Ovis aries: one gene and its partner. The protein of the gene in region 2 interacts with the protein of the main gene of each other region in a biochemical or structural test. Links are inferred from orthologs where the notes say so. Each region holds a gene or a part of one and is shown on either strand. Other genes may lie near its edges.

The links.
Region 1: the proteins of MMP14 (region 2) and TIMP2 form a complex in vitro, tested with the Homo sapiens proteins (2 studies listed by BioGRID). The link is inferred for Ovis aries from reciprocal best matches to the Homo sapiens genes MMP14 and TIMP2.

What each region holds. Positions count from the first base shown.
Region 1 is NC_056064.1:52,834,696-52,838,508, reverse strand, and holds part of TIMP2 (metalloproteinase inhibitor 2 precursor), read right to left. Parts: exon of another isoform or gene 909-3,813; intron 324-908; coding exon 223-323; intron 1-222. UniProt on the Homo sapiens protein: Complexes with metalloproteinases (such as collagenases) and irreversibly inactivates them by binding to their catalytic zinc cofactor. Known to act on MMP-1, MMP-2, MMP-3, MMP-7, MMP-8, MMP-9, MMP-10, MMP-13, MMP-14, MMP-15, MMP-16 and MMP-19.
Region 2 is NC_056060.1:21,789,479-21,792,740, forward strand, and holds the end of MMP14 (matrix metalloproteinase-14 precursor), read right to left. Parts: coding exon 3,164-3,262; intron 2,889-3,163; coding exon 2,728-2,888; intron 2,349-2,727; coding exon 2,210-2,348; intron 2,089-2,209; coding exon 1,938-2,088; intron 1,495-1,937; coding exon 1,379-1,494; intron 1,018-1,378; coding exon 683-1,017; downstream 1-682.

The DNA of each region.
Region 1 (3,813 bases), on a different chromosome or scaffold from region 2:
ATGGGAACACACCATGTGCACACAGGTTCTCTGGCATTTACAGATTAAGGAGAATCAGATCCACCTGCAGCTTGATGCCCCTGCTCCTCACCGTCCGCCCCACGCGTGGCTGGGCCAGTTCTAGGGACCTAGAGGCGCACTGAGACAGCGGGACACCCTGCCACACTCCCAAACCTCCCACGGCTCTGCTGGACACAGCAACCCCAGGACGGCCACCGTTACCTTTATCTGCTTGATCTCATACTGAATCCGCTTGATGGGGTTGCCATAGATGTCGTTGCCAGAGTCCACCTCCTTCTTACTGACCGCTTTGGCCCTGATCACTGTGAAACAAAGATGCAAAGGTGAGCAGAGTCCCCCGCAAGACCGTCCTGGCTCCGAGGTTGAGGGGATTTGGGCGGAGTTGGCAGCAGGGAGGCGGGAGGCAAGGGCAGGCAATCCCAGCCTGGGCACAGCACTGGACTCCATCCAGAAGGGGCAGACCAGGAGTGACACCAGAGCCCTCTGCTGACAGGACCCCAGAGCAGCTCTTGTCCCTCAAGACCAGGGGGTGGCGGAGGCCATCACTGATTTGATCAAGGATCACTGTGGATCTCATACATTGGGACTCTGGGGCTTTTTTCCCTTTCTCTCCAATGTGTATGTATCAGTGGCTGGGAGAGCAGATGAGCACACTGACTGGCCGGCCATCCTGATCGTGCAGTTAAGGATGGTGAGAGCCCCACCCCGCCCGCCTCCTCCCATAGCCTACAGTCAGTCAGGCTTTTTCAGGCTGAAGGTAGAGGGGGAGTTACCTTCCTGCAAGAGGCCCCATCATATTTAGGTTGGAGGTCTGACATCAAAAAAGTCTATCCTGCCAGCCTCTGAATCCGTCCTCTGCATGTCCCTGAGAAATGTCCTGGGGCTGCTTTTTGTAATAACACACATTCTATCAGAGGCAATGGCAGAGGGAGGTCAAACATTTTAACCCAAAGGGTGTGGAACGGGAGGAGGAGACATTTAAGAGCATCAGTGGCAGAAAAAAGGGACAGATGCCGAGGGCAAAGGCCAAAACACAAAGGATGGTCCTGGACCTTGACACGAGATGGAGGAGTGGGGAAGAGGTCAGGCTGGGAAGGTTCCGGAATGTTCCCTGAGGCCTGAGGTTGCTCGTGGACCTTGCAACCCAGGGCTTCCTACTAGCAATTAAGCCGGGACCCTGCTCTGCCCCATAACCTGGCAGGCGGGGATCAACAGCTCACGCTGTCACTTGGGCAGAGCCCTCCCTCCCTTTTTTCATTTTGAGGCTCATCAGCTGGTGGCACAGGCCATTCTAATGGCTTTAAAAGCTTTGTCCTTCAAGATTCGGCTGTTCAGGGTCACTGTGGATGAGTGTCACGTGAGCATGGGTGTGAGCAAAATAGAGAAGCAAGGAGCAGACAGGGCCTGGCTTGGAGGAGCCTCCCACCCTCCACCCCAGTGAGCGGCTGGAGTCTCAGCCCCTGGCCAGGGCTGTCTTTTCCTGCAGAGCAGGGAGGTCCAGGACACAGACCCCCGTCTGTGCCCACCCCCCTGGATCCCCTAAATGCTCTCTGGACCCCAGCCTGGCACCAGAGCCCCACACCACAGCTCCAATGCCCTGCTCCGGCCCAAAGCCACCCTGATTTTTCCTTCTGTTGGCGCTGAGTCATGACTGGCCGAGGCCACAGGTTCCTGTTTCCCAGGCTGAGCCAGGCCCCAACCTACGAAGCCACATCCAGGAAATGCCAAGCGGTGGGCCACGCCAGAACAGAGGGCCTAGCCCTTGTAACAGGTCATCCTGATCTCAGTGTTTCTTCCCACCCCTCCACCCATCTTCCCACCCCAGCACGTGTTGCCTTTTCACAGCCACACCCCATCCAGCTCAAGCATCTTCCTTGGCTGCCCACTGCCGCCCTCTAAATGTCCTCCTGGCGACCTGGTACCAGCCAGTGATTGTTTCAGCTGCCTTGGTGGTCACCCGCTCTTGTTTGTTCTACCAGTCCATAATACTTGCTGAATCTGAACCTGCCCAGAGGTGTCCATATTTTCAGCCCTGAATGCCATCTCCTCGCTACCTGGAGAACTTCTATTCATCCTTCAAGACCCAGCTGAAATAGCCCTTCTCCATCTTCCACCCGGGAAATCCTGTCCTCTCGTGGCACTTGGTGTATATCCCACACCTCTCATCCATTTTGCTATAAACACCCGTACCCTTGTTTACGCAGAGACGAGGGAGCTTCGAACAGGCAGAAGCTATGTTCTAACCATAGAACAGTTAGCTCTATTTGCTGAGCTGAACCTGAGATAACTGGATGGCAACACAGGCGAGGTTTGTCTTGGTCCCTCTTACAACCTGCCTAGTCTATACCTTATCGCAACACTGCACGGAAGTTTTTCTGCACATGAGTAAACATCAGATCAGTCTGTCCTAAGCTTGCTCTTTCATAGTATCGTCCTCAGCGCCTGCTATCAAATGAACCAGGAACATCCAAAGGAGATCACAGGTCTAGAAGAAGCATTGCTGCCAAACTGCATTGTGGTGGTGTACCCAGTCCTGAATGCTTCTTGAAGCTGTTTGCTACTATTGTTCAGAGGCCCAGCACTCTGCACAACGCTTACTGCCTCATAGGTGTTCAATAAACACTCTGCTGACCATCAGAAAACAAGCAAAAAGTCAAAACTACCATGAGGTAACACTGCTCATCAGTCAGAAGGGCCATCGTTAAAAAGTCTACAAATAACATATGCTGAAGAGGGAGCCCTCTATACTGCTGGTGGGAAGGTAAGCTGGTGCAGCCCCTATGGAAAACAGGATGGAGCTCCTCAAAGAACTAAATCTAGAGCTGTCCTATGATCAAGCAATGTTATTGCTGGGCATATATCTGGATAAAACGGTAGTTCAAAAAGATACATAGACTCCCCCTCATGTTCAAAGCAGCACTATTAGCCAAGACACAGAGACAACCCGAATGCCCCCTGACAGATGAATGGATGCGTAACATTTCATCCTTGTCACTCAGCCATAAAAAAGAATAAAATCATATCATTCGCAGCAATGTGGATAGACCTAGAGATTATCACACTAAGTGAAGCAAGTCAGAAAAAGACCAATGCCGTATGGTATCACTTACATGTGGAATCCAAAAAAAAGACACAAATGAACAATATCCATGAAACATAGACAGACAGAACTCTGGCTGTCCAGGGGAAGGGGTGTAGGGGGAAGGAGGAATTGGGAATTTGAAATTAGCAGATGTAAACTATTATATGCAGGATGGGTAAACAGCAAGGTCCTACTATACAGCGCAGAGAACTATATTCAATATTTGGTGATAAATCATAAATGGAAAAGCATATGAAAAGAATGTATATAATATAACCGAATCACTTTGCTGTACAGCAGAAATTAACAGCACTTAAATCAACTACACTGAAACCGATTTTTTTTTTTTTAAAGGAAAATAAGCAAAAAGTACTTCCAAATAGCCAAGAGACCCCATTCGATTCCACACAATAAGGTCCATGCATTTTTCTCTCCTAAAAGCTCCTAAAGCTCCCGGGCAGTCTGGGTCCTGATTTGAAAGTGGGCAGCACCGGGACTCCATCCTGCTGTAGCCCCTCCCTGTGACACAGCCTCAGGGAAGCTCCCTGACCTTGCTGGGACGCAGCTACTCATTTCTGAAACAGAGAACCGCCACCATCGCCAGTATGGGCACACCCTCAGGGTGAGGGAGGGGACTAAGAGCTGGGCCCAGGAGATGCCTGGCACAGAAAGCGTGCACAGCTCAGCGCAGAGCAAACACAGCCCCACGG
Region 2 (3,262 bases):
GGGCTGTCAAGGGTTTCTGCAGCCCCAGTTTAGTCCCAATGGCTCAGGCTCCTTCTGTGGAAGTTCTCAGGGGCCGGTGGGGCAGAGGCATGTGTTTGTGGAGAGGACTGGCCCTCGCTGAGCTTTCCTCCCAGGGTCTTAGGGGGGCTGTGTAACCCACACTCTCTCACTCAGGGTCTCCTCCCACCACAACAGGATTAGATTTCTTTTAGCCAGAGGGAGTGGCGGGAGGCTGCCAACTGGGTACACCTAGGGGATCGCGGAGCTGAAGTGCCCAGAGCCTCCTGAGGTCAGAGTTCAGAGGTTAAAGGTATGTCAGGGAATGGAAAAGGAGCAGATGACCCCATGTGACCTTTACCAGCGAGGTCTGAGGGTCCTGCCTTCAAGTGCAGAGCCCAGACATTCAGATGGGGCTGAACACACACCAAGCCATGGGGGCCCCTGAGGGGCAGGGGCTGGGAGGGCGGCCCCTGCTCAGACCCCCGGGGGGACCCATCTAGGGAAGAAGCAATGCCAGCGTGGAGGGTGGGAGAGGCCAGTCATGGGACAGAGAAAAAGGGACAGGGGGAGGGCTGGGGCTGGGGCCGGGGCCGGGCGGAAGCAGCCCACCCACCACCACCTGCTGCCACTGGCCTTCAGAGGCAAAGTCCTCGTGGTAGGAGTGGGCGGGCGGCAGTGGGGGTCAGACCTTGTCCAGCAGGGAGCGCTGGCAATAGAGCAGTCGCTTGGGGGTCCCGTGCCGTCTGAAGAAGAAGACGGCGAGGCCCACCGCCAGCACCAGCAGCAGCAGCAGCACCGGGAGCACCACGGCGGCCGCGCTCACTGCCCCGCTGCCTTCCTCGTCCACCTCGATGATGATCACCTCTGTCTCCTCCTCAGTCCCCTCATCTGGCTGGCCCCCCGATGACGGGCAGCCCATCCAGTCCCGCAGGGCTGACTTGGGGTAGCCCGGCTCAACCTTCAGCTTCTGGTTGTTGAATTTCCAGTACTTGTTCCCCTTGTAGAAGTAAGTGAAGACTGCAGGGTCAGCAAGAGGGTGGCATGGAAGCCGGGAGGTGGACGCGGTGTCCGGAGCAGAGCCAAAGAGAGAAGCAGAGGGGAAGAAAACCAGTAAGTGTGCGAGCCCGCTGAGCTCATCCCCTCACCTTTCTGAGCACCCGTCTCCTCAGCTGTGAAGCCAGGTAACTACAGCACCAGGCTCAGAGAGTGGGGCAGATCGAAGGGTCTGAAACGCAGGAAGCACTGAGGGCCCGGCACAGGGCTCCCCGGTTCTCAGCATCATCCATTTTCTACCCAACACTCTCGGTCTTTCGCCCTGCTCTTCCTTAACTCCTTGTGCCTGTCCTCCCTTCACTGACACCTCCCGTGCCCCTCTCACCTTCATCGCTGCCCATGAACGACCCTCTGGGAGACTCAGGGATTCCTTCCCAGACCTTGATGTTTTTGGGGTATTCACTTTCCACTATCCTGAGCTCCTCGTTGAAACGGTAGTACCTAGAGGAGAGGCGGGGAAAGGAAGCGGCTTGACACTGGGCACATCCTCTGAGGGGAGTGACCTGGGACTGAATTCACCAGTGAGCAAAGGGTGGGGGACAGGGGTTTTGACTAATGAGGGCCTGGAGCTGAAAGCAGCGGAAGCTGGGGGTGGGAGGGCCCAGGCTGCAAGGAGCCACCAGCAGCCCTTAATGACAGTGCCTGGCAGCTGGGGCGGAGGCATGGTGCTGGGGGCAGAAGGCGTCAAATGACCAGGTCTAAAATGATGGTGACCGGGTCATATCCCACTCACTCAGAACCCAAAGGAGGCTGCCTGTTGCTAGGCAACAGCAGAGGCTCAGCCAGTGCCTTCTTCAGGGAGACATCTCGGGGGGCAAGTGGGTCTTCCACTAGAATTGAGGGAATCTGGTGGGTGGTGTGTGAGGAGGAAGGTGAGGTCTTACTTGTTTCCTCGGAAGAAATAGGTCTTTCCGTTGGGCATCCAGAAGAGAGCAGCATCAATCCTGTCAGTAGGCAGTCCTCGGCCCAGCTCCTTAATGTGCTTGGGGTACCCAGGCTCCAGGGAAGCTTCGTCAAACACCCAGTGCTTGTCTCCTGGGGCGGGGAGGGGAGGGCAGGATCTCATTCCACCTGGGTCTTTGGAGGAGCCAAGTGGAACATGCTCCTTCAGGGAGCCCCGCCCACACCCAAAGACTACGGTAGAATGTCTGGTTACCTTTGAAGAAGACAAACTTGCCATCCTTCCTCTCATAGGCAGTGTTGATGGATGCGGGCAGGCCCCGCCAGAACTGGCCAATGGGCATGGGGTATCCATCCATCACCTGGTTTTTCCTCACGCGCCAGAACCAACGCTCCTGGGAGGCAGTTCATTCAGTCTTTAGCTTTGTCCTCCAGCTCAGTCCCCAAAACTCCCCCATTGCCTCAGTTTTATAGGTTGACATCCCTGGTGGCTCAGATGGTAAAGCGTCTGCCTACGATGCGGGAGACCCGGGTTCGATCCCTGGGTCAGGAAGATCTCCTGGAGAAGGCAATGGCAACCCACTCCAGTACTCTTGCCTTAAAATCCCAAGGATGGAGGAGCCTGGTAGGCTACAGTCCACGGGATCGCAGAGAGTTGGACACGACTGAGCGACTTCACTTTCACAGTGCTTCGTCCTCCTGCTTCTGTGCCCACCCTGCCACCTGGTCATAGAGCCCTTTTGTCCCCCACACCAGCCCACCTCTTCCTCTTACCTTGAAGACAAACATCTCCCCTCGAAGCATGGCCACGGTGTCAAAGTTCCCGTCACAGATGTTGGGCCCGTAGGTGGGATTTTTGGGCTTATCGGGGATGGAAGGCCTGGAGGTGGTCCTGGGTTGAGGGGGGATCTTGGTGGGGGATCCTGACTTACTCCCTGGAACATGAGGGGCACTTCAGACTTTGGCAGAGTAGGAGGAAAGGACAGGCACATGGGCAGAAAACACCTTGGGGGGAGACTGAAGCAATCAGCTGGGAAAGGACAGAAAGGGTGCGGTCAGAAGTGGGGCCGATGGAGGTGGAGTCATGGGGCAGGGGTGGGGGAACGGGAAGACTGTAGGGCATGAGGGAGGGGGAAATGCCCAGGCCAGAGAGAGCTGGAGGAGACAAGCAGCAGAGAGAAAGGAGCAGATGTGGGCATAGGTTAGTTACCATAAAGTTGCTGGATGCCCCGGCGGTCGTCATCGGGCAGCACGAAGTTCTCTGTGTCCATCCACTGGTAAAAGGGTGCCATGATGGCCGAGGGATCGT